Linked DNA regions of Caenorhabditis elegans. The protein of the gene in region 1 purifies or fractionates together with the protein of each later gene. This does not show direct contact. Each region holds a gene or a part of one and is shown on either strand. Other genes may lie near its edges.

Evidence for each region.
Region 2: the proteins of nuo-4 (region 1) and ndub-10 fractionate together in Caenorhabditis elegans (co-fractionation; one large-scale study listed by BioGRID). This does not show direct contact.
Region 3: the proteins of nuo-4 (region 1) and cox-6B fractionate together in Caenorhabditis elegans (co-fractionation; one large-scale study listed by BioGRID). This does not show direct contact.
Region 4: the proteins of nuo-4 (region 1) and dif-1 fractionate together in Caenorhabditis elegans (co-fractionation; one large-scale study listed by BioGRID). This does not show direct contact.

Annotation. Positions count from the first base shown.
Region 1 is NC_003281.10:7,153,000-7,162,303, reverse strand, and holds nuo-4 (NADH dehydrogenase [ubiquinone] 1 alpha subcomplex subunit 10, mitochondrial), read left to right. Parts: upstream 1-3,494; 5' UTR 3,495-3,500; coding exon 3,501-3,872; intron 3,873-3,917; coding exon 3,918-4,146; intron 4,147-4,194; coding exon 4,195-4,319; intron 4,320-4,367; coding exon 4,368-4,511; intron 4,512-4,561; coding exon 4,562-4,668; intron 4,669-5,223; coding exon 5,224-5,445; intron 5,446-5,843; coding exon 5,844-5,955; 3' UTR 5,956-6,278; downstream 6,279-9,304. Other genes in the region: Pre-mRNA-splicing factor syf-2, read left to right, coding at 189-317, 365-716, 765-988; rnp-7 (U1 small nuclear ribonucleoprotein 70 kDa), read left to right, coding at 1,154-1,303, 1,348-1,530, 1,577-1,639, 1,687-1,765, 2,560-2,893, 2,962-3,151; ogt-1 (UDP-N-acetylglucosamine--peptide N-acetylglucosaminyltransferase), read left to right, coding at 8,534-8,569, 8,763-8,930.
Region 2 is NC_003279.8:10,517,552-10,525,561, forward strand, and holds ndub-10 (NADH dehydrogenase [ubiquinone] 1 beta subcomplex subunit 10), read left to right. Parts: upstream 1-1,808; 5' UTR 1,809-1,809; coding exon 1,810-1,966; intron 1,967-2,354; coding exon 2,355-2,917; intron 2,918-2,999; coding exon 3,000-3,062; 3' UTR 3,063-3,210; downstream 3,211-8,010. Other genes in the region: nlp-4 (Transthyretin-like family protein), read right to left, coding at 1-107, 157-301, 349-351; exos-3 (Exosome complex component RRP40), read left to right, coding at 830-993, 1,045-1,321, 1,371-1,610; UPF0598 protein F59C6.12, read left to right, coding at 3,320-3,378, 3,425-3,507, 3,550-3,611, 4,050-4,190, 4,237-4,413; dhhc-12 (Palmitoyltransferase), read left to right, coding at 4,601-4,631, 4,832-4,920, 4,983-5,062, 5,256-5,373, 5,592-5,822, 5,885-5,978, 6,023-6,144, 6,187-6,354; F59C6.3 (uncharacterized protein), read left to right, coding at 6,908-7,113, 7,159-7,207, 7,467-7,635, 7,681-7,771, 7,824-7,935.
Region 3 is NC_003281.10:2,781,635-2,788,781, forward strand, and holds cox-6B (Cytochrome oxidase c subunit VIb), read left to right. Parts: upstream 1-4,567; 5' UTR 4,568-4,569; coding exon 4,570-4,626; intron 4,627-4,673; coding exon 4,674-4,793; intron 4,794-4,856; coding exon 4,857-5,045; 3' UTR 5,046-5,120; downstream 5,121-7,147. Other genes in the region: Y71H2AM.6 (DNA/pantothenate metabolism flavoprotein C-terminal domain-containing protein), read left to right, coding at 1-131, 895-1,137; Y71H2AM.20 (Serine/threonine-protein phosphatase 2A activator), read right to left, coding at 1,192-1,317, 2,301-2,665, 3,513-3,855, 3,901-3,990, 4,057-4,182, 4,233-4,310; nduc-2 (NADH dehydrogenase [ubiquinone] 1 subunit C2), read left to right, coding at 5,228-5,573, 6,256-6,329; tbcc-1 (C-CAP/cofactor C-like domain-containing protein), read left to right, coding at 6,811-7,015, 7,073-7,147.
Region 4 is NC_003282.8:7,549,356-7,556,953, forward strand, and holds dif-1 (Protein dif-1), read right to left. Parts: upstream 3,520-7,598; 5' UTR 3,510-3,519; coding exon 3,215-3,509; intron 3,141-3,214; coding exon 2,647-3,140; intron 2,533-2,646; coding exon 2,383-2,532; 3' UTR 2,302-2,382; downstream 1-2,301. Other genes in the region: pam-1 (Puromycin-sensitive aminopeptidase), read right to left, coding at 690-834, 1,404-1,449; oef-1 (C2H2-type domain-containing protein), read left to right, coding at 1-115, 167-356, 1,519-1,672, 2,014-2,063; F49E8.6 (Early nodulin-75-like), read right to left, coding at 4,300-4,461, 4,507-4,770, 4,816-4,890; F49E8.7 (BACK domain-containing protein), read right to left, coding at 5,291-5,605, 5,653-6,205, 6,252-6,712, 6,759-6,917, 6,964-7,008; F49E8.8 (Phosphatidylinositol-glycan biosynthesis class F protein), read left to right, coding at 7,294-7,413, 7,463-7,598. UniProt on the Caenorhabditis elegans protein: Seems to play a role in the maintenance of tissue differentiation in the developing embryo, but not for its initiation.

The DNA.
Region 1 (9,304 bases):
TTGTTTCGCAAAGCTGGATAGTATTAATATGTTTTGAACATGTAACTATCGGTTTAAAAAATATAGATTGTAAATGAATTCAAATCATATCGGTTCTTCTTTTTCTGATGTTCAAAATATTCTGTATTCCGTTTCAATGTAGCTTTTCTTCTCAACTTTCTGGATTTCTCTTCAACACTTTTTCCTAGATGTCTTCCGAATCACAATCGAGCAGCAGTGGGCCGTCGTCCAGTGGATCAAAAATGAAGGATTTCAATCAGAGGTTCCGTGATCTTCACAAACTCCGCCAAAGAGCGAGAAAAGAGAATCACGAACAGGTTAGTGTTTTAACGTTTACATTTTCAATTATAATTTAAAATTGTAGGTCGTTGAAGAAGATCGTCGCAGCAAACTTCCAAAAAACCACGAAGCAAAAAAGGAAAGAGATCAATGGCAGGTTAAAGAGCTACAAGATCGAAAAGCTGCAGAAGACAAGGGATTGGACTATGAACGTGTTCGCAGTTTAGAGATGTCTGCAGATGTTACTGAGAAGCTTGAGCAAAAAAGAAAGAGAAAGAAGAACCCAGATCAAGGATTTACTTCTTACGAAGATATGACTCTTCGTCAACATACTCGCCTGACTGCTGCTCTTGATCCAGATCTTGATTCTTACAAAAAGATGAGAGAATGCGTTGGAGGGGAACAGTTTTACCCAACTGCTGACACACTTATTCATGGTAAGGAGCAAAACTCATAATTTCAAAGAAAAACCAAAGAGTTTTCAGGAAATCACTATCCGACAACTGCTGCAATGGATAAGCTCACTAAAGATGTTCACGGCCAAGTTAAAAGACGAGAACAATATCATCGTCGTAGACTTTATGATCCTGACGCGCCAATTGATTACATCAATGAGAAAAACAAGAAATTCAATAAGAAACTGGACAAGTACTATGGAAAGTACACAGAAGATATCAAAGACGATTTGGAACGTGGAACAGCTATCTGAAACCGAGGATCGCTTTTTTATTTTCTTTTTCAGACATTTTTTCAACTTTTTTTCTTCTTTTGTTTTGTTCTTCATCTTCCCATTCCATACTATTTTCTCTCTTCTATTCGATAATCTTTGTACCTACAAAACTCAAATAATAAATAAAAATTATTTTCAGGTGACATGACGGCATTTCTACCTCCCAATCTTCTGGCGCTTTTCGAAGCACGACCACCAGTGCAATATCTTCCACCATGCCAGGACCTACTAGTGGACAAAAATGCTAAAAGGGCTCCGATGACTGGAGTTGCTCAATATATTCAATTATTTGAGGTTTGAACGTAACTTTATTATTTTGGAAGCTATTTTTTTTTCAGGATCCGAAAGATACTCCAGCAAAAATCCCAGTAGTAACAAAAGCTGAAGCAAAAGAAGAAAAAAGACGACAAAAAGATGAATTGTTAGCATATAAAGTAGAACAAGGAATCGCCACGTGGAATCCAGCTGAGAATCCAAGAGCTTCGGAGGATCCATATCGCACTCTATTCGTTGGACGAATTGCACGTTTTTTTAAATGTTAGAATGTGTTTTAGTTTATATTTTCAGAACTATGAAACGTCTGAAAGCAAGTTGAGACGAGAATTCGAAGCGTATGGTAAAATTAAAAAGGTAAGTGTCTCGTTTCTTCCAAGTTAAGCTTTCATTGTTTTTTCCAGTTAACAATGGTCCACGACGAGGCAGGAAAACCACGTGGTTACGCGTTTATCGAATACAGTGACAAGGCTGAGATGCATAGTGGGTTGCAGTTTGTTTGTCATAAAACAAAAAATCATTGGCTGAACCTTTTGCTCAAAAAAACAACAGAAATTTTATTTTAAAAACCAATTTTCAAGGAACACGCTCCTATTTTTGTAATTTTTACAGCCACGCGGCCATTGTGAAATCCTGGGAAATGAATGGGAATGGCAGAGCGCGCAACTCTCCTATCGATTAATTTCTGATAGGTTTGTTTGTTGGTGAGCTCAAATAAAAAACAAGAAATTAAAAAAAAAAGGAATTAGCATTTTAAGAAACGAGTCTTTCCAAGAAAAAAAACATTATTTAAAATTGCACGCTTGCTAAAAAGGTTTTAGGCATATTATCGCATTTAAAAACTTTATTAATTTGTTAAGCTGAAAATTTCTGATATAAACTCTTTTTTTAGTACTAGGTCTTTGAATTTCATTTAGGCTACTAGATTAGGAAAAAATCCAAGAATTCAGATTTATTTTTTTATTTTTTGAATGGGTAAGGTACACGCTTTGTAAGTTTTCCTCACAAACATCAAAAAAATCATCTTGGGATTATTTTTGTAAGTTTCTTGCCGCTTTTTGTAAGTTTTCCCGTAAGTTTTGTCTGTAAGTTTGAAGTCTAACACATTTTCTGAATCGCGGGTAAGTGGTTGGGTAAGTAGTCAATTCCGCGAATGACATGGAGGCCTGTGAGCGCTTTTTTGGTAGGTTAGGTAAGATATTTATTGAGTAGACACACAAATCCGTATTCTCTCACCTTATTCCTTATTGAACATAATATTCGAGTATTATTTTCAGCCGCTTACAAAAAAGCTGACGGAATCAAAGTTGATGGTAAACGTCTAGTTGTCGACTATGAAAGAGGTCGTACTCAGAAGACATGGTTGCCTAGAAGACTTGGCGGTGGAAAAGGAGATACTCGTAAAACTCGCGAAGCTAAATCAGTCATTGAAGAACGTGAAATTGCGTCTGGATTTGGAGGTGGGTACGAGGATCGAGATAGAGAAAGAAGTGGTAGTCGGGATAGACGTCAAGATTCTTACCGTAATGGTGGAGGAAATGATCGTGATCGACGAGAATCATCGGGCGGATTTAGAGATAATCGCGGTGGAGGTGGCGGATTCGGTGGAGGGTTAGTTTTTATAAGATTTCGACATCTTATTTGTATTTTTCTTCACTTGTTTTAATTAATATTTTCAGAGGCCGTGATCGTTTCAATGATCGAAGTGGTGGTGGTGGATACGGAGGTGATCGTGATAGAGGAGGTGATAGAGGAGGTGACCGTGGAGGAAGCCGATACAGTACAGGTGGAGGATCCGGTGGTGGATATCGAAGCGGTGGTGGAAGTAGCGGAGGTGGTGGTGGAGGTCGATATGGTGATCGCCGTTGATTCTGAAACCAAAGGCCTTGTGGATTTTCCTCGCTTTTATGTTTGTTTTGTATCCTTCGATCTGAAATTTACCGATTTTTCCTTCTGCTTTCTATCTCGTCCTCTCAAATCATTTTGTATTCCTAAACACTTTTTCAAACCTGAACGGTATCTTCTAATTTATATTTTTAAGTTATTGACTTTTTTCTGCTCAGAAGTTCAACTATTCGAGGGCAGATTCTAATAAAGCTTCAATTGCAATATTTTCTGTAGAATAATTTATTTCTAATGGTTTTCAAACCTATTCTAATATTTTATTTTGTTCATTTTCCAATTTAATCTTATTATCTTGTTCCTTGTTAAGACCATCATGCCGGGTTCCATGAGCAAATTGGGAGGGCTGGCAACCGGTTTGCTGGCCTGCTCCAGATCAGGAGCACTCTCAAATCAAGTCAGAGGAGTTGTTCATAAAAGTCTTCTAAGACTTCCATCTGAACATCCAGAACCATGGGACTATAAGCACAATGGATTCAATTATATTGATGGATTAAAAGACGACACTCGTTCTCATTTCCATCAAAATTCCAAGCTTATCGTTGTTGAAGGAAATATTGGATCCGGAAAGACAACTTTAGCCAAACAACTTGCTGATCAACTCGGCTTCGTTCATTTCCCAGAATTTAGAATGGACGATATTCTCGTCGATCGCTACGGAAATGATCTTCGCAATTATTATAATAAAGTAAATAATAATTCAACCTAACTCTTAAATGTAATATTATTCCAGTTCCCAGCTCGTTACCGTCTTCCAGACATTTCCATGTTCTATAAGAATCCAAGTGGTGAACTCTCAGCTGCCATGCAAGATCGCATTTTCAACTGCCGTTTCGATCAATATCTCAACGCACTTGCTCATATTCTCAATACCGGTCAAGGAGTTGTGCTCGAACGTACTCCACATTCGGATTTCGTTTTTGCCAATGCAATGAGAGATAAGAATTATATTGGACATGAATGTACGTTTATTGTATTCATGAATTTTCTTTCAAAATAATTGTTTCTAGACTTCAAGCATTATTACTTTGTCCGTAAAAATGCTCTTCCTCAACTACATTTCTGGCCTCATTTGGTTGTTTATTTGAATACACCAACCAATAAATGCCTTGAAAATATCAAGAGACGAGGAAACGTAAGCTAGATTTCTCATAAAGATATTCAAAATTTTATTAATTTTCAGACAGACGAAATTGCAACAGTTGACGAGCGTTACTTAAAAACAATTGAGGAGTCTTACAAGGATTCACTTCGTGAATACCGTAATCACTCGAAGATTCTTGCCTATGACTGGACAAAACCAGGAGACACGGATGCTGTTGTTGAGGTAAGGAAAAGTTCGAAATTCTTAAAAGAAAAAAAACATAATTTTTAAAGGATATCGAACGACTTGACTTGGACTTCTTTGAATGGCACAGTGGTGATGTTATGGAAGAGTGGAATACAATTGTTGATTCAGTTGGATGGAATGGATGGAGACAATAGTGAGTTTTTTTTTTGAGAAATATATTCGAGATCATACATTTTCATTGATAAAACGAAACGATTAATTTATTGAAAATACCAACAAAAAAGCCATCAAAATTTTTAGGAAATTTAACATTCTAGGAATTGAAACTGGCCAAAACTTGTTTTTTTTTTATTTTTAAATTTTGCAAACATGGACAGAAAATGATTTCTGCGAAATTGTGTCCCCATCAAGGCAAAAGATTTTTGGTTTTTTTTGTGTTTTTAGCAAAAAAAATGTATTTCGCTTTATTCAAAAAAAAGAGCAAAAAAACACAATTTTTAATTTTGATATACTGAAAGACATAAATTAAAAACAAACAAGTATGTGTTTTTCAGTCAGCGACAGGGTAACAGAATTTTTCGGTTTTTTTTTTGAAAAAAAAATGCAAAAAATGGATTTTTGTAAAAACCACGAAAAAAACGATTTACGAATATCGTAAAAATCTACAGCCCTGATATAACATTGAGAAAGTATTTTAATTGAATTTTAAAAGTTTCATCCACATTGTATAATATATAATATCTTCTAGTGTCACCAATAAATACGATGCCCGTATGCTTGCATTCGATGGAATTCCAAAACACGAAGTTGGAGAGCTGTACACAAATCCACGTGATACTGGACACTTCCTTCACGTAATGCGTAAAGAGGTTCTCAAGTCACCATATGGCTATGGATATATTGCCAAGAATGGTGATCATCAAGCAGGACTCAATGCATGGCACACTGGACACCATCTTCCAGAACCATGGTAAGTTGTTTTCAATATTTGAAATTTAACTTGAAGGTGGAGTAGAGTCAATTTGAAAATTTGCTTTAAGTAATAGAAAATGAACCGAAAATACCGAAAACAAAAAAATTATAAATTTTTTCAATTTTCAAAAATGTTAAAAATTATTTTTGAATTACCACATAAATGAATCATGAATATATGATATTCGGACATTACGGTCTATTTTCTACCATTTGAAGCAAAAATTCGAATAGTCTCCACCTTTGAATTCTTATTTATGTTATTTGCATTTTAAAAAGTTCAAAAGCAACAGCATAAGATTTTTTTTAAAGCTGTACTTTTTAAAAATCCGTATAGCTAAACTTTCAATTTTATAAAAAATTCTTTTTTCGAATTAACATTTTTCTATTGTTCAGGTATGAATACTACTTCCGAGAGGCATACTATGATGATTTGACATCTCACGAGACATCGCTGGATTTGGATTCGGATTCATACGATCCGGATTATGTGCACCATCATCACTAAATCCATCTCTTATTCTCATCGCTCCAAGCTGTTTTTTTTCAGTAGATTTCGTAGATTTTTGTCGTCGTCGTCTTCGATTTTCTGTTTTCGATTTGATTCTTCAATCACAAATCGGTTCGCCTTTTATTATGTGTTAATTCTTTTTTGTATTCATATTTTTATTTTATAGTAAGTAGAGGAAGAATCGATCCGAGAGAAAATTTAATGCGAAAATAAAGGGTTTTTATATTTTTATTGTTTACTTGTATTTTTGTTCTTGGTTTTCTGAACTTTCCTTATTTACTTTTCACCTTTTTGAATGATAAATTACTAGAAATTTGGAATTCAAAAGCTTTTTCGATTCCTTGACTTGGCATAGAGCCAGCACACACCTCATAGAATACACCGGAACCCTGGAGACGCAGAGAAACGGCTAGAGACAATAAAAAGCAAAGAGTGTCCGGAGAAGTTTCTCTGTGCCTCGCGTGGGGTTCTTTTCAGTTTCTCTAGTGATATCTCGATTCACAATACTATCTCACTTTCACAAGACCAACGGGGATACCCCGTGGTCGACAAAGTGGGGGGAGTTGAGAGTGAAGAGACGCAGAAAAGATAGACAAACTGGAAGAAGATGAAGAAAAAGGACGATGTAGAAAAGAGGACTTGCTCTTTTTCAAGAGAAAAAGGACAGCTTCTCTATTCTCTCTATTACCCCACGCACACTTTTCAAATTATGCGTACTTTGGGTTTTATTCATATTATATTGCCACGTTTGGGTTTTACCGTACTACTGAAAATTTATTTTAATCTTTAGAGTCTCTCTAGTGCCGCGAGTGACTCGTGTCGAAAATGACGTCACTGCTGTGTGTGCTCTGTGTTTGTGCTTTTGCTTAGGAAAACAATAGGAAACATTATCAAAATTCTAAGATATTTGTTTTTTATAAAGTAAATGAGAATATAGTTTCTCTATTCAACCCATCAGAAGCATTACAATCATTTGGTCTTTGTTTTGTTTTTATTTACTTTCCCACTTCGTTTGAACACTGATGTCTTCCGTTCTTTCACTTTTCTTGACCAAAATCTAGAAATTGCAAAAGTGATCTCTGATCTTCGAATTCTATATTCTGGTCCAATGGAGGATTGATGTTTAATGTTTAGAGAGCAAGAAACATTTTCCAGTTCCTACTTCATTTCCTGGTTTTGATGCGTATAGCATTTCCATGTACTAAGTGTTAAAACACTCACTGGAAAAAGAAAGAATAAATACGTTTTCTGCAAAATCTGTTATATAAAACACGAGAAATTCTATCTGGTGAAGGTTTTCAATTCAAAAATTTCCGAAACTCTGCTTTTCAGAAAATGTTTCCAAATTTACAATGTCCTCTGTAGTTCCAAGTCACAGTTTGATTATTTTCCTGCTAACTCTTTCTTTTCACAAAATCTGAGTTTTCTTACTTATATGAAATTTTCTTTATAATCAAGGGGTATATCTAACAAGGAAGCAAACTATACTCGAAAGAAAGTTTAAATTGCTCCTGCCACGTATCGAGCTCAATAAAGAATCAAATTCCGTTTTACGAGTAGAGATTCAAAGTTCACAAATGACATCAATTCTCGCTTTTCCCCTCTTTTCCTCACTCTCTTTGCCGCCATCATTCTTTTTAATTCTCTCACATGTTTTTCGTGTTTTTTGCTTTTAGATATGATACGGTCTTTTGATACTAATATTGTTTTGAATTCAAATTCTGTATTGGATACGGTACTTTTCATATTACAAAATTTATAAGAGCAAAATGCATAAGAGTAAAAATTTATTTTAATTGTAAGTAATAATTTCAATTGACTAAAATCAGAGTTTTGATTTCAAAAAGCTCTATTAACTCCAGGGTACTGGAAAAAACCAAGCACGTGCCTAATGGAAATTGAGATTAATTGAACGGAGATTTGTAGAAGATTATATTCTCGTGTAGCAGGGATTATTGAGATTTAGGAAGCTTGTATTTTCAGCACTGACCCAGCTCTTATGATGTATATTTTATGAATTTTCTCAAATGCTGAACAATTTTCGGATTTTCTTTTATTTTTTTTTAATCTTAAAACATTTTAAAAATAAATATTCATTGCCACTCTAAAATATTGAACGAATTCAAAAGCCGCGACATTCCTAGCCTGCTATACCCCAATCCCGTTCCATCTTTTTACGGGCCATTTTCCGGCTTCCCTCAAGGCCAATCATGGTCTGTTCATCTATTTTTCTCTACCCTCCATTTCTTACATAATCTCTTTTTCTTATCTCTGCGTCTCTTGTCTCTAATCGTATCAGAACATACACTTGAAGGGCCGATAGGAAGAGGTTTTAGAGAAATCAGAGATAGTAGGTAGAGTGTGGAGACCCAGGCAGTGGTCTTTGGCATCTCTTTTACGTCTCTTCACTCTCTCACTATTTTCGTTCTTTTTCCACTTTTGTTGAATTTTTCGTCTTGTTGTTCCCTCTTGAATTTAAATTTCAGTTTTCTTGAAATTATTTTCTTTTTTGGCTTTTTCTTGTTTCCAATAGTTCAATTTCCAAATTTCAGAATTATATCGAATGGATTAGACGATGGAGAAGCCCAATTACTTTCAGTCGTATAATAAGGTTAACAATTATTTTTTGTTTTCAAATAGAAAATAAAATTGTATTCAAATTTTTTCTAATTAAAAATATTAAAAATATAATTACAAAAAAAACTATTTCGGAACTGAGACTTTCCAACACTGTAAAGTTGAAATTTAACTATTTTTTCTCCTTTATTCTTCAATTCCTTACTAATTCTATTTAAAAGCTTCAGGTGATAGGAGCAACCGGAGAGCAATTGGCTCCCGGAGCAGTACCTCCACATCCTGTACTTGCACCATCAATTGCTCCTGGAGGAGTTGCTGGAGTATCGGCAGCAAACATGGCCAACATTATGCAGACTCCTGGTTTCGCGAATCTCGTTCAGCAGGCTATTCGAACGGTTTGTTAAACAAAAAACATTAAAAATTAAACAAAATTTTAAGGTTTGAAAAGCAGACCAAAAAATTTATCAAACAGAAAATAAACCTAACATTTCTAAAATAGATTACCCAGACGCGAAATTTAGCGATTTTTGTGCTTAAAATACAGAACCCGGTCTCGAAACGACATATATTGATTAAAGTCGAAAAGGTGTGCGCCTTTGAGGAGTACTGTAGTTTCAAATTTTCATTACTGCGAAATTGTCTTGTTTTTTAAATACATTTGAGCTTTTTTTAAAAATTAATAAGTATATTTTCTCGCATTTAATAAACATTTTGCGTGGTGAGACCAGGTAGTTTTTTCTTAAAATATTACCCGAAAAACTCAAAAATC
Region 2 (8,010 bases), on another chromosome or scaffold:
GATAACGACATAAGGAGTAATCATATAAGCATCAGTTGTCACATAGGCTTTGAAATCAAATTCTCCTTTCTCGTTTGTCCATCGATCCATAAAATCTTCGTATCTGACTGAGAGTAAAGATTTTAGATTCAGTTGAACGATTTCAAACTCTCTTACACATTTGTGCTTCAGAAAAAATGTCCATTGGCATGTTGGCAGCAGGGACATCATCACACACAAGTTGTCCTTTGATATGCACGGAAAAATCTGTCTGCTTCACGGCCAGACACGTGGCAATAATACCGGAAAGAACAACAACTAGCTGAATGGGAAAACTTTAACTTCAAAAAACCTAACTATATTACATACCATTTACAAACCAGTTTGACCACTAAAAACTCAGTTGAACTGTATTTGAAACTAAATTTTTCTCGGTGTACGTGTCGATATTTATTTTAAAAAATTGCCACGCATTTATGTTTTCAGTGTTATTTTTCTTTTAGTCCTTGACAATTAATATTAATTGCAATTTCCAACATATCAAATAAAAATCAATGGGTACGGTATACAACACCGCAAACACCGTCACGTCAAGTCGCAGACTTTCAACAGCCGCTCCATTTTTATTTCTTATTTTTCTAGTTTTTCCGTTTATTTTGCGAAATATTATCACTTTTTGATTAATTTTATTGCAAAAATTTACAATTTTCAGTTAATATACTCATTGAAAACACTTTATTAACGTAGCTTATTACGTTATTCCTCCTGCGGTATTTAAATTTGGTTTTTCTATTCGCCACTACTTTTTAAAACGTTATTTTGTTCATCATTGAGTATTCAATTTTCAGAAATGACCGTATATCTCCCTGGCGACGTTATCAATGAACCTTCTTCAAGCGATTCCTCAATCATTGGCTACGGAATTAGTGTACGTGGCCAAACGAGAATTGCCACTCAACCTGGAGCTTTCCACAACGATGATGGAAAAGTCTGGTTAAATGTTCACAGCAAAAGGTAAGAATGATCACGAACAACATTTAAAATCACAATTTTTCTTAAATTCAGATATATACCACAGGAAGGAGACCGAGTAATCGCTATTGTCACTTCAAAAACTGGTGATTTCTTTCGTTTGGACATAGGAACTGCCGAATACGCCATGATCAACTTTACTAACTTCGAAGGTGCTACTAAAAGGAATAGGCCGAATCTAAAAACTGGAGATATTATTTATGCAACAGTTTTCGACACAACTCCAAGAACTGAAGCAGAGCTTACCTGTGTGGATGACGAGAAACGAGCACGTGGAATGGGACAGCTAAATGGAGGATTCATGTTCAAAGTTAGACACGAAATTTACTATTTATTGTAAAATTTAAAAATTATTATAGGTCTCCTTGAATCATTGTCGTCGACTAATCAACCCATCTTGCAAAATTCTTCAAACTGTTGGCAAGTTCTTCAAATTCGAAATCACTGTTGGAATGAACGGAAGAATCTGGATTAGTGCTTCGACTTCTGATGATATTATCAAGATTCACGATATTATCAATAAATCAGAGTTTATCACTGACGAAGATGAGCTTATCACCCTGGTTCAGAATAATTACACACGATCTGTCAGTGATTAAGAATCTTTATCTCAATTTTTAATTTTTCAGTGTAATTCCTGCTATTGTTGATTTTTTTTTCCTTTTGTTGTTGAACTTTTTAAAAATTTAATTTATCGTCTTGTTCTATGTAATATTTCAATTTTCAACGTTTCTTCGTTGTTTTAATATTTATTACTCAATATTCTCAATTCACAATGGAAAATTTTCGACATTCAGTATGGGTGAAGGCTTAGTGGAGCAACGTCAAGCTGACGATAAAGCATCTTGGGATGCTTACTGGAAAGTTCGTGATATCGATTCACGAGGATCCATCTACCCACGATTCCGTTATTATGCCCATAAGGCTTTCGACGCCCCAGCAACTTGGTTCAGAGGTAATTTTTAAAATTCTCAAGTTGGAGAATCATTTAAAGAAGAAGCAGCTTTGAAATTAGATTTAAAACCATTTACAAAATGTAAGAATTGACAGAAAACAAATTTCGTTCAAGTTTATTTACTTTCACCATTTGTTTTAATTCCAAGTAATTGATACTGTCTACGGTTTTATCCAGATTCAAAAAATTTGGGAACTTGTGGTGCAAGTAAAGGTTAATTTCTAATTCCCATATCATTGCTGTAAATTATAATTTTAAACTAGAAAAAAACCAAAGTTATTCGACTACCTCAAGCTGATGTACAGTTAGTAGTTGCAGTTCCACATAATAAATCAACTAGGCAAAACAATCCATTTTAATCTATTCTACTAACTCGTCAGCTTTTCAGAGACTATTGTGCAACCACTCAACAACAAGAACCGTCTACCCTACTATCACCGTCAACTTACACGTGTTCCGGAAATCGACGAATGCGGAGTGAACGACAAGGCCTGCTTCTACGAAGCCAATGAGCAGTACCGTCTTGATAAAATGGTCGATGGATTTATTCTGCAAACCCTCCGCCAACGTGTTGATCGGTGTATGCTTTACAACAATCCTGATCATTCACCATGTGCCAAGGTTATTGAGGATATGGAAGAGAATGAGTTGAATTTCTTCATGAAATACGGAGAGTTGGGAGGAGAATCCGATGTTCGTGATGCTTATATGAAGCAGAAGCATCGAATGATCTGGGAACGACGTCATCCAGAGATTATGGATGAGCGTGCAGCTAAGCTTGCTGATCATAAAGCACGACTTGCTAATGGAGAGTTTGACTATTCATTCTGGAAGAAGGGAATGTTCTATCAAGACAAGAAGAACTATGAGCCACCATATGAGTTCCAAATGAGCAAGTCAGCACTCGAGGGTGACAAGCCATTGTCCAAGGATTGGGAATACTACAAGAAGGTAAATATTCTTTCAAGATTTAATTTTAAAAAAGAAGCTACGAGAGAATCCTGGATCGAAAATTAAAATTTTATATTTTCAGGTCTCACAAGACCCAGAATTCGACAAGGATCAAGGAAAGAAGTCCGACTTCCGTCTCTTCTAATTCTACGCTGTCAATCTTTTCTTTTTCAATGAAATTTTTTAGAACGAATTGTGTTGAGTTTTCTTATTCCGTCGTAACAACTTTTTTTTCTTTTTCATGTTGCGTTCTTTTATTCCATTCAGAAAGTGAATAAATGTAGATTGTTTGATTGATTTATAAAGATTTGAATATGAATTTATGAGAAACGGAAATATTACCAGTCAGCTTTTCTTTTCAAATTAATTTAAATCAAAATTTAACTTTTTTAAGTTTCGGAAATGATACTGACATTTGCACGAAGTCTCTACACACAGGGGCAGTATAACGGAAAAATAAGGTTTTATTTTTAAATTAATTGTTTCTTTTTGAATTTGAGTTTTCAGAGAATATTTTTACTATGTGAGCCACAATGGTTTCCTATTTCTGGACGATTCGAGAATGAAGAATTTTACAGCGGCTTATAAAGGTTTATTTTACAGGAAAAACTGTTAACAAATCGAAATTTCAGATATTCAGTTTCTTAATTTCTTCTACAGAAAGATCAAGGAAAACAAGACGGGAAGATATGAGGTAAAACGCGAAATTTGCGATTTATCAACAAAAATACGGTAGCCGGTCTCGACACGACAATTTTTGTTGAATGAGAAAAGGTGTGCGCTTTTAAAGAGTACTGTAATTAAAAACTGTGATTTCTGCCGGATTTTTTTATTGATGTTTCCAATTCTTTCTATAAAATAATTCGACAGAATCTTAAGTTTTAATCTACAGTAATCTTTAAAGGCGCACACCTTTTCTCGTTTAACAAATATTTGTCGTGTCGAGACCAGGTACCGTATTTTTCACTTCAAAAATGTTGAAATTTCGTTTCTGGGTAATCTGAAAGTGTTCTAGATTTTCGATCAATTCCTATCGAATGCAATTAATTAAAGTTTCATCCATTGAATTGAGCTTAAATACTCAATTAAAAAATCGTGGAGGGAGCTGAAAAAAAATTATATGAAATTTCAGGATACATTCCCGTGGGTAAGCCTTTGTGGAATTGAGCGAAACTTTCTGAGATGCGACGACACTCCACTTGTTTACACGGAACTCGACTCCACTGAAAAAGAGCTCCGAATCGGGCAATCAACCATTTACCATTCGTTTCAAGTAAGATGAAGCACAGATTTTTCAGATCTGTATTCTAAAATTTCAGCCCTCATCACTTTCAATGAATTCAAGCGGCCGTGTTTATCACAAATGTCCGATTGGTGGAAAAGCACTGGTAGCTGACAAATTGACGGATAAACTGTATCGCCGGTTCCGATTTGACGATGACGGCGTTCCAGTCGGATTTCAGTGCGGGGAGCAGATAATTGAGCTTAAGAAATGAAATAAATAATAATTAATGTATATTGTCTGATGGAAAGTATCTAATGAAGTATTTAAAATAAAAATAATGTTAAACGTGAACCCTTTTCAAATTTATTTCCACGCCCTTTGGCGGCCTTTCAAAATCGATTTTTCAAGTTTTCGTTTATTCCCTGATCTTCCGGGAGTTATCTCCTCCACGTTGCATTATGGATGTTTGTAGGATTTTCAATCGGATAGGTCAGTTGCGAGACGTAACATTCTAAAATGAGCTTGTTTGGATGGGTCTTGCCGCGAAAACTTTACGGTAGCATGGAATTTAACGCGTTACCATAAACTTTTGATCGCAACTAGACCCACTCAAATAAATCTGTGCGCCTTTAAGCAGAGAATTAAAATTACAATAAAAATATTAAATATCGATGATCACCCTTTTTCAGTATACTTTTTGGTGGAAAAATCGTTGGGCGATATCTCGAAATTCGACCCATTTGATGTATTGAAGCTCGTCGCATTGTGGGGTGGACGTGTGAGATTTTTTGATAATTGGAAGCACAACCAGAGAGAAAGGCAGAAATGATAGTTTTTCAGTTATGTCTGCTGATTTTCGTGGGCACACTCTGCAATGTTACATATGTGGTAATCTTCAAGATGATACCAGTTGAATGGAAGTGAGTGAAACCTTCAATCTTCCACTCAGGCAAGAAATGCCTTCCTGCCTGCCTCTAGGTCGGTTCTGGCACCAACATGAGTGCCTACCGCGAAAAGTCCACGCCAATGGAAAAGAAAGTAGGCGTTAGGCAGGCAGGCATGATAAACTTGCTGAAACTCTATTTAACAATAGTTAAAGAAGTGTATTTTCAGCGAATGCCAAAATATGTCGTTCTTCGTGTTCCGTTTTGTGCTCCTTATCTACATTTACTACAGTGTCGTTTTTCACTACTACAAGGCCCGGACTCTGACACCTGTTGTGAATCCAGGGGTAAGCCTCCAAAAACAAAGATATGACGTCATAAGCATAAACGGTCGTCCGAAATCAAGCATTTGAGACAAATACTGTAATACACATTTCTCCACGAGGAGTACACACAAAGAACGTAAATCGACACGTTCTTTGTTTTACAGTCATTTCTCAATAAGCTAGAAATTGTAGAGCCTTTTTGAGATTTTTTTCTTAAAATTTCAAATCAAACTTTTCAGACTCCCAGTGACTCATTTTGTATCAAATGCAACAATTGGAAAGGTCCATCAACATCTCATTGTAAAGCTTGTGACAAATGTATCTACCGTATGGATCATCATTGCCCTCATATTGGACAATGTGTTGGAGCACACAATCAGAGCCACTTCTTCCTTTTTCTTTTCTATCTTCAAATTGCAACGGGCCTCTTTTTCTTGATGGCTACAACGTTTTGGATGAAATGGATAGAGGTTGGTTTGGTGCCTGCCTTGTGCCTGCCTATCCTTAAACTAGTAAATTATTAGTCCTTCAGACTCGTAAAGAACTAACTGCAATCCCGGATGATCAATGCTGGCCTCCATATTGTTTTAATAGATATTACTACTTGATTACACGTTCTCAAGGAAGTATGTCTGATGCATTTGAACCTTTCTAACTTCTCAAATTCCAGCCGAAGACACTATGGTTAAATTCGCATTTTTCCTTTTCGTAACACTTCATTGGATTATGTGGGGATTTGTTGGTGTCTACGTAGGAATCATTTCATTTGGATTAACTATGGCGATGAAAATGGTAATCAAATTGGCAACATCTGAACCAATTCAGAATTTCCAGTTTCAAAAGTCGGACGCTGAATCTCGTAAACCTTTCACTTGGTTCACAATCAAAGCTCGTTGGAGAAAATACATGAACTGTCAAGATGAGCCACTTTGGAAGATATTTTTTATTCCGAAAACCCGCAAAATTGTGTCGTATAACGATTATAAGGAGTTAATTATGTAGAATTATTGTAGAATTGTCTAATTTTCTCTTTTTTAATGTGGTTTTTTATATTGAGTTTTTTTGGTTGGCAATAAAAGGAATTGAAAATCGGGTTTTTTGTTGAAAATTGAAGAAATGAAGGTTGCTCAGAATCACTTTGATGGAACCAAAATAACAAATATCATGGGATAGAAATTTCAGAAAATATACTTTTTGTGGAATTCCAATTTGGAGCCGCGCGATTTTGTTAGGGCTTGGTGAGATGGAATGAGCTCGGCTTGTTTTCATATTTTTCCAATGACTAGTTTCTTCCTGACTTCAAGAAAAAACTTGAAAAAAGCAACAATGCAAGCGAGCTCCACCCTGCAAGCTCACATACAGCGTGGATGTTGAAATTGGAATTTGGTAAATGCTGAATTGGTTTTCAACAGGAAATAATGTTTTTTTTTTCTGGAAGTTTTTAAAACCATTGAAAAACGTGTTGACCGCCCTTCTTGAACCGTGGATTTTTTCTTCTAAAAAATCCAAAAAAATTTATCACAAGTTCTCATACTCTCGTTTCTTCCTCGAAGCGATGAGCACGACAAAATCGATAAAAATCAATTCAAATTCAAGTTTGACGGAGAGCAAGAAGACAACCATTGATGATGAGGACGAGCTGATTTTTCGAAAATCTTCGGATCCCGAGCCGTATCAACTGGGAAATGCTCCAGAATGTGTTTATTCTGGATGGAATATTTTCATTGGAATATTCCTCTTATTCACTACGATCTTCTTGGCGTGAGTTTCAATGAAACTGTTATTTTTTTACTTGGAATCTTTCAGATCAGGATCGGTCGCATCTATTGTAACTCAATGCTTTGGACTGGCTTATGTAAGTTATGAAAAGTATGGGTTCGTTCCACCAACGTTCCGCGACCAATCATGAGGCGTCACAAAAATAGCTGATTGGTCGATACTTTTTAAAATAAAAAAAACCTGCCTTGTGCCTACACGCGTTCCTACTGCTTAAATGAAAGCAACTGTAATAAGAAAATGAATAGTAATCCTCCAAAAATAGGCGGTGGGCAGGCACCGGTAGGCACAAGGCAGGAAAGCACGCCTGAAGGCGAGCAGCAAAACTTGATTTTCAGATATGTGCTGGCCTACTGACATCTGTTCTTATTCTCAAGTCGACACGTGTGATCTTTGCGATACTGACTGTGTTCTCGGCTATAACAATTATAATGACTTCTTTGACTATTTTGGGATTCGTTTATTCAATTGAAGGATCTATGCCAATGCCAGAACTTATGTTAAAAAGTGAGTTTTTACTGGAAATACATGCGTAAAATAAATATTTTGCAGATCCAACATTGGAAATAATTCTAGGAGGTTTACTTACTGTGCACATTGGGTTGAATGTCTTCTGTTTCTTTGTATTTTTGAAGAGATCTTTGTAAGAAACATGAGAATTAAATGTTTTTTTTTTGAAAAATTAAAAATTACAGTAAAAGTGAAGTAGCACCGGAGCATGGGAATATTGAAAGAGCAAAACGTGCATCTGCTCCAATAAAATTGGAAAAGGAATCTGGAGAAGTTATTGTGATGGATTATTTTTGAAAGAAGAATAAAGAATTTTATTCAAATTTTATTGCCAATTTCTTCGTTACTGAAAAATTCCACAGTGACACAGAA
Region 3 (7,147 bases), 4.4 Mb from region 1:
TCGTCACCGAGCTGCCAACTCACAAAATCGCCAGCAACACCGAGCTGAGCCTGGAGCTCAGCGTTGCTCCGAAAGTTATTCAAAAAGTTGTCACCTGCTTCATCCCGAATGCGTTTATCGTCTCGTTTAAAGTTTGTTCTTGCGATTTTTGATCGAAATTTGCTATTTTCACCGATTTTTTTGTGCAAAAATGTCCAAAAAATGCGATTTTATCGAAAATTTTGGTTTTCTCTCCCGTAAACCACTTGGAATTGGATATTTTTGCCACTTTTAATCGAAAAAAATCCCGAAAAAATGCAAAAATTATATTGACGGGTCTTGGCACGACCACAGACACTTTTTGAAAAAAGGTGTGCGCCTTTAAAGGGTTACTGTAGCTTTTTTTTCCACTTTTTAGCAAAAAATTGTTTAAAAAGGACGAAAACCTAAAGAAACCGCAAGAAATTGGTTGAAATTTAACAGTATTTTTGAAATTTGAAGTGAAAATGAAAAATAAAACGAAAACCCCAGGAAAAAATGCAAAAATTCCTTTGGCGGGTATCGGCACGACCGCAGAAACTTTTTAAAAGAAGGCCTGCGCCTTTAAAGGGTTACTGTAATTTAATATGATTTTTTTTTCAATTTTTAACTAAAAAATTATTGAAAAATGGCAAAAGGTGTTTTAAAAAAATCGGTTTTTTTTTTCAATTTTAGAAAAAAAAACTATATTTCAATATATTTCAATGTCCAATGTACTTTTTTTTCACGGTTTTTTCTCTTTTTTTTTGGAAGAAAAAGTACATAAATTCAATTTCTACTGTATTTTTCGTGCTTTTTCTCAATTTTTAATCAAAAAATTAGTTGAAAATGCCCATTTCCCCCCGCTAAATTTCAATTTAATTCGTAAATTTCCAGCTAGAAACGGACGAAACAAAGCTGATTCCAAAGGCAAAAGCTGCTCTCTCCAAGTACGGCCATCAACTCGTCATCGCGAATATGCTATCAACTCGCAAGCAACGTGTAACTCTCGTCAGAAAGAATATTGAGCAAGGAGAGGAGATTAATCTTGCTCCGGGAGCCCCCGAGCTGGAGATCGAATCGTTTATAATCGATCGTGTTAGCGCTTTACACAGACAATTTATTGATGCACAAATGTAGATATACAGTCATGATTTTCACGGAAAATGAATAAATATTTTAATATAGTAGAGATCATGCATCGGCCATTGGTGGTGGGCAGTGCTCGTTGGGATGTTTCTCACTGTGAAGACGTCGCAAGTCTCCAGATTCGACGACAGATGACGAATGGACGGTTGAAGTGTTGGCGGCGGATGGGATCTGAAATAATATTTGATTTTTCAGGGGGAGTTTGTGAGAAAAATGATGGAAAAATCAATTTTTTATCACCCTCTTTCTGAAAATTTGCGTTAATTCTGAAAAAACCACTTTTTTTACAAAAATTTTTTATGGTCGGTCAAAATATCGAAGAAAAAAAAGCCAAATTTTGCTAAAATCTGAAATTTCGCACACTTTTCTTTGTCACAGCCGCTGGATTTTAATTTTTCTGAAATTATCACCCTTTAATCCTTATTTTGGTGATTTATCTCATTTTGATCATTTTTGGGTGCCTATCGGCCTAAAAGTTGTCTCGATCAACGAATTTCCGCGAGATAAATCACCAAAATAAGGATTAAAGGTTGATAATTTCAGAAAAATTAAAATCCAGCGGCTGTGACAAAGAAAAGTGTGCGAAATTTCAGATTTTAGCAAAATTTGGCTTTTTTTTCTTCGATATTTTGACCGACCATAAAAAATTTTTGTAAAAAAAGTGGTTTTTTCAGAATTAACGCAAATTTTCAGAAAAAGGGTCATAACAAATTGATTTTTTTTCCTAATTTTTCTACTAATTTTTAGAAAAAGAAACAAAAATCTTGGGTTTCATTGGTTTATATACACTTTTAATATACACTTTTTGTAAGTTTTCTACGGGAAAACTCGAAATTTAAGGCGATTATAATAGCTTTTGTTGAAAAATTTGGTCATTTCTCAATTCTTCCAGCAAAAAATCGTAATTTTCCATACAAAACGTTTTTTTCTGACAAAAATCAGTTTTAAAAGAATTTTCTGTTTGAAGGTGAAAATTCAGCGGTTTAGTGCGTTTTCAGTGAAAATTGGTTTTTCTGCCAAAAAAATCACCACTTCTTCTCGATTTTTTCCATTTATTTTTCAAAAAAATCAATTTTTCCAGTGAAAAATTGAAAATTTCGCTTTAAAATCTCTATAATTGTCGATATTTTTACCATTTTCTTCTCCGAATTAACCTTAAAAGCGAACATTCCATGCTGAGCCGGAGCTCTTGGAGGCATCGGATCCTGTGACGGAGCATCTTCCATAGATTCTCTTGGATGCTCCGATCGATCAAATGAGAATAAAGAGCCGAACATCATGTGCTGAACAACTGGAAACTTCTTTAAAACTTCTCCTTCATACATTTTAAACATTCCACTATTGACTTTTTTCCAGTGTGGAACTGCTGAGATATTCCAAAGTTGATTTGAATGTTCGTGGAAAGGGCCGGTTTTTGTTTGATTGATAAAGTTTACGCAGTCCAGGAAAAGACTTGTGTGGGCGTGAGTCTCAACAATATTCTTTTTTAGGTAACTGTCCGGCACGATACTTTTTGAACCTGAAAATCGAAACAATTTAAGATTTTGGAGCGGATTTTTGGCTATTTTTTGGCATTTTTCAACATATTTCAGGCCTATATAAGCTTTGGAAATTCAAAAGTTTTTTTTTTTGTAATTTATTGGTAGAAAACTAGATTTTTAGGTGATTTTCTAGTAAAATTTTATAATTTTTTTTCTGAAATTTTCACAGAAATATGCTTTTAAGCGGGGTTTTCTAGAAAAATTGTAGAAAAATTTTTTTTTGTCATTTTCGGTGCCTTTTTTAAGTTTCACAGGAAATTTAGTGAAAACTAGCTTTTTTTGAAGTTTTCCTACGAGGAAATGTTGTAGATTGAAGATTTTAAACGATTTTTCCCGGATTTTTAATAGGAAAATCGCGAAAATTGATGATTTTTAACGGAGAAATTGAGGATTTTTCAATGAAAAATTGTGAAAACTTATGATTTTTAAAGGAAAATTGCCAAAATTTATGATTTTTTGGCAAAAATCGCAAAAATGTGATGATTTTTTAATGAAAAATCGGGAAAATTGTTGATTTTTTATTTAAAAAAAATCGCAAAAATTTGTGATTTTTCGACAAAAATCGTGAAATTTGATGATTTTCAACGAAAAAACGGAAAAATGCATGATTTCGAATGAAAAATCCTTGAAAAATGAACGTTTTTTGAACAAATACTGTGAAAAAAGACATTTTAGATAGAATTTTCCGACAATCTGTGAAAATAAGTCGGTTTTTCTTCGGAAAACGACTTAATAATTGTGGTTTCTTGAGAATTTTTGAGTTTTTAATGGAAAATTCAGCTATTTTCCTGAATTTCAAGACTTCTAGTTGCTCCAACATATTACCAATAAGCTGAGCGCTTCCAAAAATGAACGGCGCGAACTGAAAATCGTCAATCGCATGAACTCCACGACTTCCAGCCGGCTCCATCTTGAATCTGGTCTGCAGATGACGGCACACTCTCAAATACTTGTTAAAAATGCGAAGAACGAGCACTTTGTCATCATTTTCTGTGAAAACGCCCAACTTTTGCAGGCAAAACAGCAAAATTAGGAAATTCGCCTCGTGTCCCGAGCCGTAATCGATTCGAGTGGCGTTTCCGAAGGATTCTGTGAAATATGGAACCAGTTCGACTAGAGCATCGTGGACGTTTTCCGGAAGAACGCTGGCTAGGAGATCTGGGGATTCCTGGAATTTTTAAAATCTTTTTAAATACATTTTTGAGCTAAAAACCTTGCAAAGCTTCTCATAAAACTTTCTGTAAGCTTTATTGCCAAATCTTTGCTCGGAAACATCTTCCAGAGGAATTTCCTCAGCCCATTTCTGAAAAAAATCCATTTTTTATTTTTTTAAATCTGGTTTTTCGTAATTTTCCGTAATTTCTCGAACCTCCAGCTTATCCAGCATGTCGATAAAGCTGATAACCAAGTCTGTGCATCTCATGTCTGCAGTTGTATGAACTCCAACTACAGAATCATTCAAACGATGCAAGAAAGCCAGGTACTCCTCGTAAGCCTGCAAATTTCCATTCATAATCCTTCAAATCGATAAAATTTCTGTTCTACCTTGGAAAAGTACCACGGATTCAGGTCGAACACATTTTTAATCATCTTTTCCGGCGGTTTATACGAGTTTTCAGCCATTTTTCTGGAAAAAAATCTATTTGTTTTGATTTCTAGAACTTTGTTATGTAAAAAAATAATGCAGCAAGTGCGCTCCAACGCAAAACCCCATTGTGGAGCGTTTTGTGCGTGAGAGGTGTATAGGAGTGTGTGGCTCGCGCAGCGTCTTTAGTGAAAAATTTTTATTGATTTTAAATATTGTTTAATTCGGTTTTCACGGATTTCTGAGCTTTGAAAATAACCGCCCGTGTTTAAATTTCAATTATATTCAATTTCAGTAATGCCTGTCGAAGTTGAGGTTCCCCCAACCACTTACGAGAGACTCCAGCAATACAAGGTGAATTTTTAGCGTTTTTCTTCATTTTTATCGATAAAAATTTACAGGAGAAGTTCTCCGATGCTCTCCGTCATCCAGACTCGCCAGACTGGTACAAGAAGGAGACCCACGAGTCTGTGAAGAAGGATCTTCTCTGGGCTGCTCCATACGACGCCAGATTCCCACAGGTTGGTAACTTTATTTAAAATTTATTATATATTAATTAATAATAAAAATGTACAAGTTTTCAGGTCCGTAAGCAACGTCAATGCTTCGCCTACTACGTCGATTTCCATCGTTGCAATGAGCTCATGGGACAGGACTACAAGCCGTGCAAGTTCTTCCAAAATGTCTACAAGGACTTCTGCCCCGGATTCTGGACCGAGAGATGGGACGAGCTTCTTTCCGAGGGACGTTTCCCAGCTAAATTCGATCGCTAAATGAGATTGTTCGATTGTATTCGAGAACAGGCGTTTTATTAGTGCTGATATTCGATAAAAAGTGTCACTTGTAAAATATTTTAAACACTTTTATTTCTTATGGCGTTATGAGACGCTTGAAATATCTCATTTTTTTTAAAAATCATATTTCCCCCAAATAAATAATTTTCTCAGTGGAAACCATGGCTGACTCAACTCGCGTCAGCGAGAAGGAAATCGAGCGCCGCGAGACCTTTATTCGCGCAGGACACAGAGCTCGTCACCTGGCCGATCCATTCACATGGAGCTACCCATTGAAGGGTGCCAGTGCAATGCTCGGAATCTCGCTGGCTTCGGTTTATTTGCAAAATCGATGGAACAAGAAGCCGTACTACTACGCAATTGTTCCACGGCTTTTGCTCATCGGAGCCGCCACCGCCGCCGGATACGCTGCCGGAGCACTTCGAGAGAGACACTATCAGACGAGAGACGCAGTCATCGAGCACTACATGAAGCTTCATCCAGAGGATTTCGACCATTTTAATGATCGTGAGTTTTGGAATTTGCTGAAAAATCGATTTTCAGATTTTACTGCAATTTCGAAAAAAAAACCCGGCTGAATTCGATCAAATTTGAAAGATTTCGGCTTTTTCCCCCCAGAGAATACCGTATTTTTCGCGATTTTCTGTGATAAATGCAGAAAATATATACATTTTCCCCGAAAAAAAAACGCTGAAAAGGAGAAGATTTGGCTAAAATGCTCGATTTCGGACCAATTTTTGCATTCAAACACCCAAATCAATGATTTTTATCTTAAAAATAGCAAAAATTGGCGTGAAAAACCGATTTTAGCCTAAAACACCATGGAAAACTACAAATTATCGGTTTTTTCGTATTTTTTAACAGTAAATTCGTCATTGTTCATGTAAAATACTATAAATCACCGATTTTTATGTTAAATTCAGAAAAAAAATAGTGAAAATGGCGCATTTCAGCTTAATCTTCTCCTCGAGGAGTACACGAGCTGCGTAAATCGACACATCACAGAAAACTTGAATTTTGGACTAGAATTCAGTTTTTTTTTCGCAATTCTAAGTAATTATTTTGGAAATTAGTGCGAAAAAAAGGGAATTCTGGCTAAAAAATTCAAAATTTCTGGGAAAACGGAAGATTTTCTAGTGAAAAATGCAAGAAAATCATCAAAAATTCATGGAATCTATTTATTTTTCAGGCAGTGGACGTTCATTCTCTCAAGTTCTTCTTCCATGGTATCCACGCAGAACCCAGTACACCAGATACGACTGAACAATTCTCTCGAAGTCTCTTTTTAGTTCATTATTGTAAATTAAATGAAGAATTATTGATTTTTTTCCCGGAAAATTCTCATTTTTTTCATTTTTCAGCATCCATCTGGTCTTTTGAGCCGTTTTGAATATAACTAATTAACCCAGAAGCAATTTTGGGGCAAAAATACTATACTATATCCTGGGTCTCGACGCGACAATTTGTGTTAAATGCGAAGAGGGATGCGCCTTTAAAAAGTACTGTAGTTTTAAACTTTTGTTCCGGTGGTTTTTATTGATTTTTTATAGTTTTTCTCACATTTTATGAGAATTTTTGCATATTTTTTTAACGAAACTAGAATAAAAACACATAAATTTCTATAAAATCTGAAAAAAAAACTATGAAAAATCGATCAAAAATTTAAAAAAAAACTCAAAATTGTCGTGGCGAGACCAGTTTTTTGCCACAAAAATCGCGCAAAAAAACGCCAGATTTCAGCATAATGGAAGCATCTTCGGAACAAATTTTATTGGATCGAAAAGATCGATTAATTGCAAAACTGGAACAAAGAAATGAAGAACGAAAAGTGCAAACTGAAGAATGTTTATCGAAATCTGAAGGAGCACAAATCGATAATTTAATGGCGGAAATTAAATCGGATTTGGAAGCGAAAAAATCCGTCGATTCGCAGAAAATCGACCGGCTTCGTAAGAAATTTCCCCGCCTCAAACAAACAAAATCGATAATTTTCTTCAATTTTTCAGAAGAATTTCTGGCGTTCTCGACGAGTAACCGGCAAACTAAAACAATTCAAAATTTCCTTGAAGACGTTCGAAAAC
Region 4 (7,598 bases), on another chromosome or scaffold:
AACGCTATGAGTGTGTCCACTGTTTGAGAACTCTTCCTGTGTCGAAATCACCATGTGAACATATTTCTGAACACCACGATAAAACCCACGTGGAAATTGAATTTCGTGACTTATGGTAGGAAAATCACATTGAAGAAATGCTTTTAAAAATTCGATTCAAATTTAGGTCCAATGAGCAAGTGTCAACTTTCAATTCAGTTATGGAAAAATGCTTCTTGCGTCATCTTCCAGTTCCCAGAAGCCGTAGAATTCGAAACGGAAACACCTGGTATCTCTCCGAAAAGGCCTCGTACAGAATTGTTCGAGGAGGTGAAATTATCCATATCAGCACTGTGGCTGATAAAAGCAAAACAGATGTGAGTTGTTGAAAAAAGGTTTTTGTAAATATTTCAAAAACATAGAAATAAGCTTTTGGAGAAAAAATTAATAGAAACTGGAAGAAGTCGTGAAGCCTATCAGTAGAATGAAATGTTTCAGAATGACACAATGTAAGATCATTAGATTTTTCGTGGAAATTGCTTTAGATTGGTGTGAAAATGATAAACATAACAGACGTATAGACAAATAGGGTGAATGACGTTAGAACCCACCCTTCCATTTTCGATAACGAAAAAGGATAGTTAGAGGTTGGCACTTCGAGACACTATTGTCATCAAAAACACATACACACACCGGGACGCAGAACTGACCCGTGTTCGCCTCTTGCCGTGCGATGGAGCATGTTTGCTGTTGTGTGGTAGGGACGGCACTGGGCGCCGGCGACAAATGAAAGACGTCGGATGGCCGAAAAATTGCGCAGGCAAAGCTGATGAGTGTTGACGGGCTTGATGGATGCTGTAAAAATGTTAGAATGAACAACAGGCGAAACAGCGATTTTTGAGTCAAAAATACGGTACCGAGTTTCGACACGAAAAATTTCATTTTAGGAGTACTGTAACTTCAATCTCTCGTTTTTCTCATTGTTTTCCAATAAAATTGATGTGTTTGTTCAAAAAATAGGTTTAAAACAGGATGAAAATGTTACAGAATCGAGATTTTGAAACTACAGTAATCTTTAAAGGGGCAGACCTTGTATTTAAGAAAAATTTGTCGTGTCGAGACCGGGTACCGTATTTTTGGCTCCTGTGCTGATCTTAACGGCTAGGATGTTATTATTCTGACCATGCTATTGCTGATATCTAGATGACCAGATTTCACAATATTCAGTAGTATAGTTGTGCACAGTTGATCAAGTGACACTTATCATTTAATATTATTGTTTCCACGAATTCAGAGTACTGAATTTATCAGCTGTCAGTCTTATCAACTCACATGACCAAAATCTGCAAAATCTGCTTTTTTTTGCAATTACTTCTAAGCTATGTAAAATTACAAAATTTCCTAGAAAACGGGAAATTAATTACCTTTACTGCAACGGACAGCCTGTCGAACTGCTAATCTTCCCAGCATTCTGAAATCTGGAACGACAGAATTACAGATTTTTAGTATATAATTTTGTAAAATCAATGTTATTTTTAGAATGGAAAAGAAAGCAAGCAAAGTCGTCTGGATAATTCTGAACGCGGAAAACCTACACGCTCGATGGATTCAGACTATGATATTTTTGATAATCAGGATGAAACTGATTCTGAAGAAGGTGCTCGAAGCGAGTCTATAGATACAGGAAATAAAGGTAAATGTCATTATTTAGATTAGAATTTTCAGCTTTCTTTTGGATGGTTTTGAAATATTATCGCTCTCAGCATTATTTTGTTTTTTTCCAAATTTTTGTAGGAGTAGTAAATATAGTAAACGTTTGAAAAGAAATTTTTATTGATGATTATAATTTTCGGTGTTTTTAAAACTTTTTTTCAATACAATTTCTTCCAGAAAGGTTAGGTTTTCTAAAAAAGAATTTCTAAATTAAAACTACTCATTTCCAGAATACTCTTATTTAGTGTAGGTTTTTCAATTAATGAAATTCAATTTAACTCCAATCATCACTATCCCAATCGTTTAAAATTGTGAAAATAGTTTCAGAAAGTGAACCTGGCAGTCTTCAGAGCGTCATCGATCTAGAATAGTCTTATCTTAAATGTTCCCCTGTTTTTTTTTCACCATACCCGTTGTACTCTTTTGTTTCGATAATTGTTCTGCATTTAATGAACCTGTTTCTCAAAAAAAATTGTATAGCGACAGCTGAACACGGTAAATATAATTCAACATTGAGCACTTCTTGAAGTTCATCAAAAAATTTACGATTTTCATGTAGAAATATACACAACATACAAATGCCCAAAACATGGAAATAGAAGGCAACTCGGGTAAATGTTTTTGAATAATGAAAAAAATATCAAATAAATATGGTATAAACTAATTAGAAAAATGAGAATTTTCAAAAATTTACTCGTCGTGTGGGAGTGGAACAACTTCTGTAGATGGTGTTGGGTGTCCACCAATGCCAAAGTAACGGAAGGCAGCCAACGTGAGTTCAAGTCCGAAGAAACAGGCAGCGTTTGCAGGGAAAGCACGGAGCATTACTGGCCAGAATCCCTGAAATTTATACAAATTGTAGCTAGAAATCAGGTAAAGTATATATGTATGTAAATGTGTCGAGAAATGACGAAAAATTCACTTGCATCGTCCCAATCGTTTAAAAAAAATCACCTTGAACAGAGCTCTAGGACCCTCTTCGCGAAGAACCTCTCTCAAAACTCCACGGATTCCATCTGGATACTTTCCTTCAGGGGCTGTTTGTAATCGAGATTTGAGAACATCAGCTGGAATACACACTCCCCAATTGGCAATACCAGCAAGTCCTCCAGCCATCAATGTTGCTCCTGGTGACAATGTTCTTTGAGCTCCTTCTCCAGAGAATTTCTTTTTTAGATATTCATATACTGAAAGATAAGCGGCTGAAGCTGGGATGTCTCTGAGCAGAGTGGCACCAGTTCCTCTGTAGATTGATGAAATTCCTCCTTGTTTATATAGTTTTTTGACAACATCAAGTGGACCATCGTAATGAACTCCAGAACCAGCAGATCCAGCTTGCTGAACTTGAAGAAGACACTTGATTCGTTCACCAGGAACCATCACAATTGTTGTGAAGACTCCAGCAAGAGCTCCAGCATTAGCGTTTTGGATGAATGTCATCTCCTGGCCTGAAATGCAAAATGGTAAGATTAATTCTCATATTTTCAATTTATTTGTTTGCCCATGATGATTTAGTACTAACTTGGATCAGTTTGCTGCAGCCATTTTCCAACTGCACATCCTCCGAAAAAAACTGCAAAAAGTGGAGAAACACCAACAAGTGGAGCTGCCATTCCTTTGTAGAGGGCAAAAAATCCTTCTTTGGAAACTGTTCGTTTGACACAATCAAGAGCTCCGGTAAATTGTGGCTTCTCCCCTGGTTTTGGCATTGGCATAGTTTGAATTCGGACTTTGACAGTATCGAATGGATGTCCGACGATTACGGTACATGATCCACCGACTCCTCCTGCGATGAAATTCAGAAGAACGTCCGACATTTCAATGCGTCTGAAAAATAAAATGTAAAAACTTCGATCTGATGGCTGAAATTTTCCGATATTAAGTAAGGTTAATGTAGAAATTAAGTGGTTTTTTGATTTAAGAAAAATACCTGAATCCTGTTATTTAAAAAAAGGGTGATAATATTTAGTTTTGTTCAAGTTAATACATTTCTGAATTTAAGAAAACCCTGTCAGGCCTTGTAAGAAATGTTTAACTTATCTTAACTTATCTTATCAAAGAAAATTGCACTTTAAACGCTAAATTTCGAATATAAAATTTAAAATTGGATTTTTAGGAGTTTTTAAAGAACAGTAAAGCTTTTTTATCCTATTTAGATCGATAGTGGGAACGAATGTTTACGAAGATATCAACAACAAAAGGAAGATAAAAAAATAAGTGAAGAAAATGTTTGTGTGTCCGACCACGTCGTTGCTGTGAGGGTTCGCCACAAATAACAGCCAATGAACACAGAGATTGCTGGACTACTCTCCGAGAAAGAGAAGATAACGAAACGTTATTGAGATAGTACAGAAACCGGGGAGACGCAGATAGCATTCGTTTTTTGCACTTTGCCCTTCAGGAAGACTACATCGTGGCTTATTTGTAGTCTTGGGAGAAAATAAATGCATAAATGTGGTTTGATCAAAATATCGTTCAGGTAAAATGACTAAATTAAGAGCACAAAAAATGAAATCGCAGAATAATTATGATTTAGTATGCAAACAGCAATCACAGATGCAAAGGGAATACAGTGTTGAAAATGTTGAAAAATCTTCAGCGAAATTATCATAGTTTTTCTTTCACTTCCTGCGAGAGAACCTGTTCGTAGGTTGGAGGTGGCGGCAGGTTGCCTGAAGACGTCGGGAGTGTTGGTGGAGCAGATGAAGATGGACCTGGTGGTGGAGCACAGTAGGGAGGGGCGAACGACGGGGTTGAGCTGTTGCCATGCTGAAAGTGGGTATGGTAAAGTTGAAATTTAAAAATGTGTGTTACCGAGTAGAAGTAATACGATCCTGGAGCAGGGGGAATGTTCCTGTCTGGGACTCGGTTTGAGAAGTCTGGTCCGTCGAGGAATCCCTCACAGAAGTTGTCGTAAGCCCCAGGCAGATCGGTTCTTGCAAATGCGACTGTAGTAGTTGGAACCGATTGGAGTTGTTGGCCAGCGGAGGTGAAGTAGAACTCGTTTTGTTGAACAAGCGGACCTTGTGGATATGTTGGCATCGGATAGTGGGCAACTTGCGGAGGAGGTGGAACGGCCTAAAAAAATCAAATTATTCATGATTTAAAGTTAAGTAAACTTACACTTTGCTTCGGATAGCTTGGTGCTTCATTCATTCCACTTTTCTTATCGGTTTTCTTGCTTCCAAAAAGTGGCATTTTTCACTTCTCGTCGATCTCAGAGCAAAAAAAAAGAAATGAAAAGAGCAGCAGCGTGAGAAATGAATCAAGATCGATGAAAGCGCGCTCTCTGCTGTCCACAGATGAAAATGCCTAGCAACGACTTACAAACTCGCTCACTGATCAGTTTTCAGTGCACACACTAATCAGAATAGCACTGAAAAACTTATTCGCGTTTAAGTTGAAACAAGTGGAAGAGAAACAAGTGAAGTCTCGTCCTACGGCCGGGATACACATAAATTTATGTTGAAAAAGGAAAAAAGAGCAGAGAAACAAAGAACAGAGAAAACAGCATTGAGAATAAACAGAACAGACAACGAAAGAGTACTCAGAATTGAAAACCAACTGAATCAACAAGGAAATAATAATACTGCACAACTTAATTGGCCAGCACTACTTTTAGATCTACAATAACCTGATTTTCTGAATCGAAAAAACTGGCGAACATATGTCTTCCAGGGCAAGAATTGCCATGATCAGTGAATAAATCTCTTGTTTCTTGCTCAACATTCAAATTGACTCCAATTTGGCGTCCATTGGCGACTTGTGGTATACATCTTTTCACTGCACTCATTTGAACATCTGTAGAGTTGGTAAATGTGAGTTCATAGTTTACAACTCGATCTTGGTGTTCGCTGGCGTTGAAGAAGAATGTGTTCACTATGTAGTCGATTTGTTTTTTCAATTGAACTTTCTGCAATGAGAAAAAAAACCAATTAGAAAGACAAAAGAGGAACTTACCACTGATGAACCAACTTTCAATGGTACAATTCTTTTCAATATGATCGTTTGCATTGGGAATAACACCAAGAAATCTCTGCCAGCAGTATAGACGTTCCCCTCGTTGAACATGGGATCAAAAAGACGACTTCCTGAGCAATCAACGATCAATTTGCAATTCAAAATAATTTCTTCGTCTCCAAGACACACTGGTTCGCATCTATCAAACAAGGGACAGTTGAAAAGAGTGGTAGAAGTGAAAACATCCTCGTCATCCCATTCAATTCTTGCAGCATCTTCAATAGAAGAACATGCTTCTGTTCTTAATCGAAGATTCAATACTTTTGGTTGCCAAGAGAGCAGCATCATACGGAAGAGTTCAAATGGGATGAAATATGACACTGGCATCACTCTTTCCACAAGCTCTTCGCTGTATGCCATCAGAATATCCGGTAAAACCATTGTTAATTTGTCAACTTTTGTTGTTCCAAACTTCATCTTTATCTGATCCAGGAACTTTTTTTCGTCATCAGAACATGAATAGTCAAGTTTATGGGCAGTATTCTCTAGAAAGCTGAAATAATAAGATGTAAATAATATATTTAATAATAATAGCTTACAATGAGGCAATAGCTAATTCCTGAAAATGACCTTCCTTTGGCGCAAGATCTAGCAATGTAATCAGTGGAACAATTGGAGGTTGGTCGCATTGACAATTATTTTGAATCAACTTTTCGATTCCTGCTTTCATCCATAATAATGGATTCAAAATCTTCCTGCAATTGATCGGTGGGAGCCCAAATGAGTCAGAGTCGAATGGAAAAATTTCTGCACTTTTTACATTCAGATGGAACGATTTAATAAGATTTTCGAGATGGAGTATGACAGAGACTGTAGATGTTCGAATATTGTTGATAAAAATCGGTGTTTTGTTGAGATCAGTTTCTGTCAGTGTTTCCAATTCTGCCCATTTCGACTCATCAAACGGTAGAGCAAGCGTGATTCGAATGTGCTCAAAATATGAATTGACTTTCGATAGGAAAACTTCGCTGAGTCTGTCGGAACGAGATTTCAAATATTCCTGAATGATTTGAAAGTTTATCATGTAAAAAAATCTCTAGACTTACTTGCCATTGAATTAAGATCCCGATAGTCTCTTCAAAGGTTCCACTGCTTGTGAAAAGAGGAACAATTATTTTGTCATTTAATTGCTCGTCGCTGACTTCTTCAAAAAATACATCATCCTTGTCTATTTTCCTTTCGACAAAGTCAATCTTGAGTCTTTTCTGAAGTTTTGACGGCCACTCCATTTTAATAGTAGAGATCACTTACCCATTGAGTTTGTGTGGTGACTGAGTTCTTCGATTTTTTGCCCATTGCAAAAATATAAATAATAAAAGGAATAAGTATCCCCGAAAGCTTTTCAAAGTTAAATTAAAGTTAAAAAAAATAGAAAAAAAATAATGTTTAACAATAAGTACGCAAACACCGTGAAGAAACATCGGAACTGACGCGCAATGTTGGTAATGGTGTTTTTTAAAATAACTTTTTTATTTTCTAATTAGTAAATTAATTCTATCGTAAATATTGATCATTCATGATTACAAACATTCTTGAGACCTGTTAACATTGTTATTTCTAAAATTCCAGGATTTTCATCATATGCTTAGTCTACCCGTGGCCGCCAGATTCGTGACTCTTTCTTGGGCGGTGTTTTACATCCTCGCTGTCCTTTTCGGCGCTCCGTTTTTCTCTGATATAATTGCAACCGCTGTACTTGCTGTATGAGAAGATTAAGCACATGAAAATAATTTATTTTTCCTGTTTTCAGACAGCTCTAACGGCCGTCTCTGCTCTGCCTGCCGTCTTCCTATTCGATTCAGAAGAGCGAGCGGTTGAAGTGATCCTACAATTATTTTCGTGTGAAGGCAATCCAACACCAAAAGAATCAGTTTTACTGTTCAACT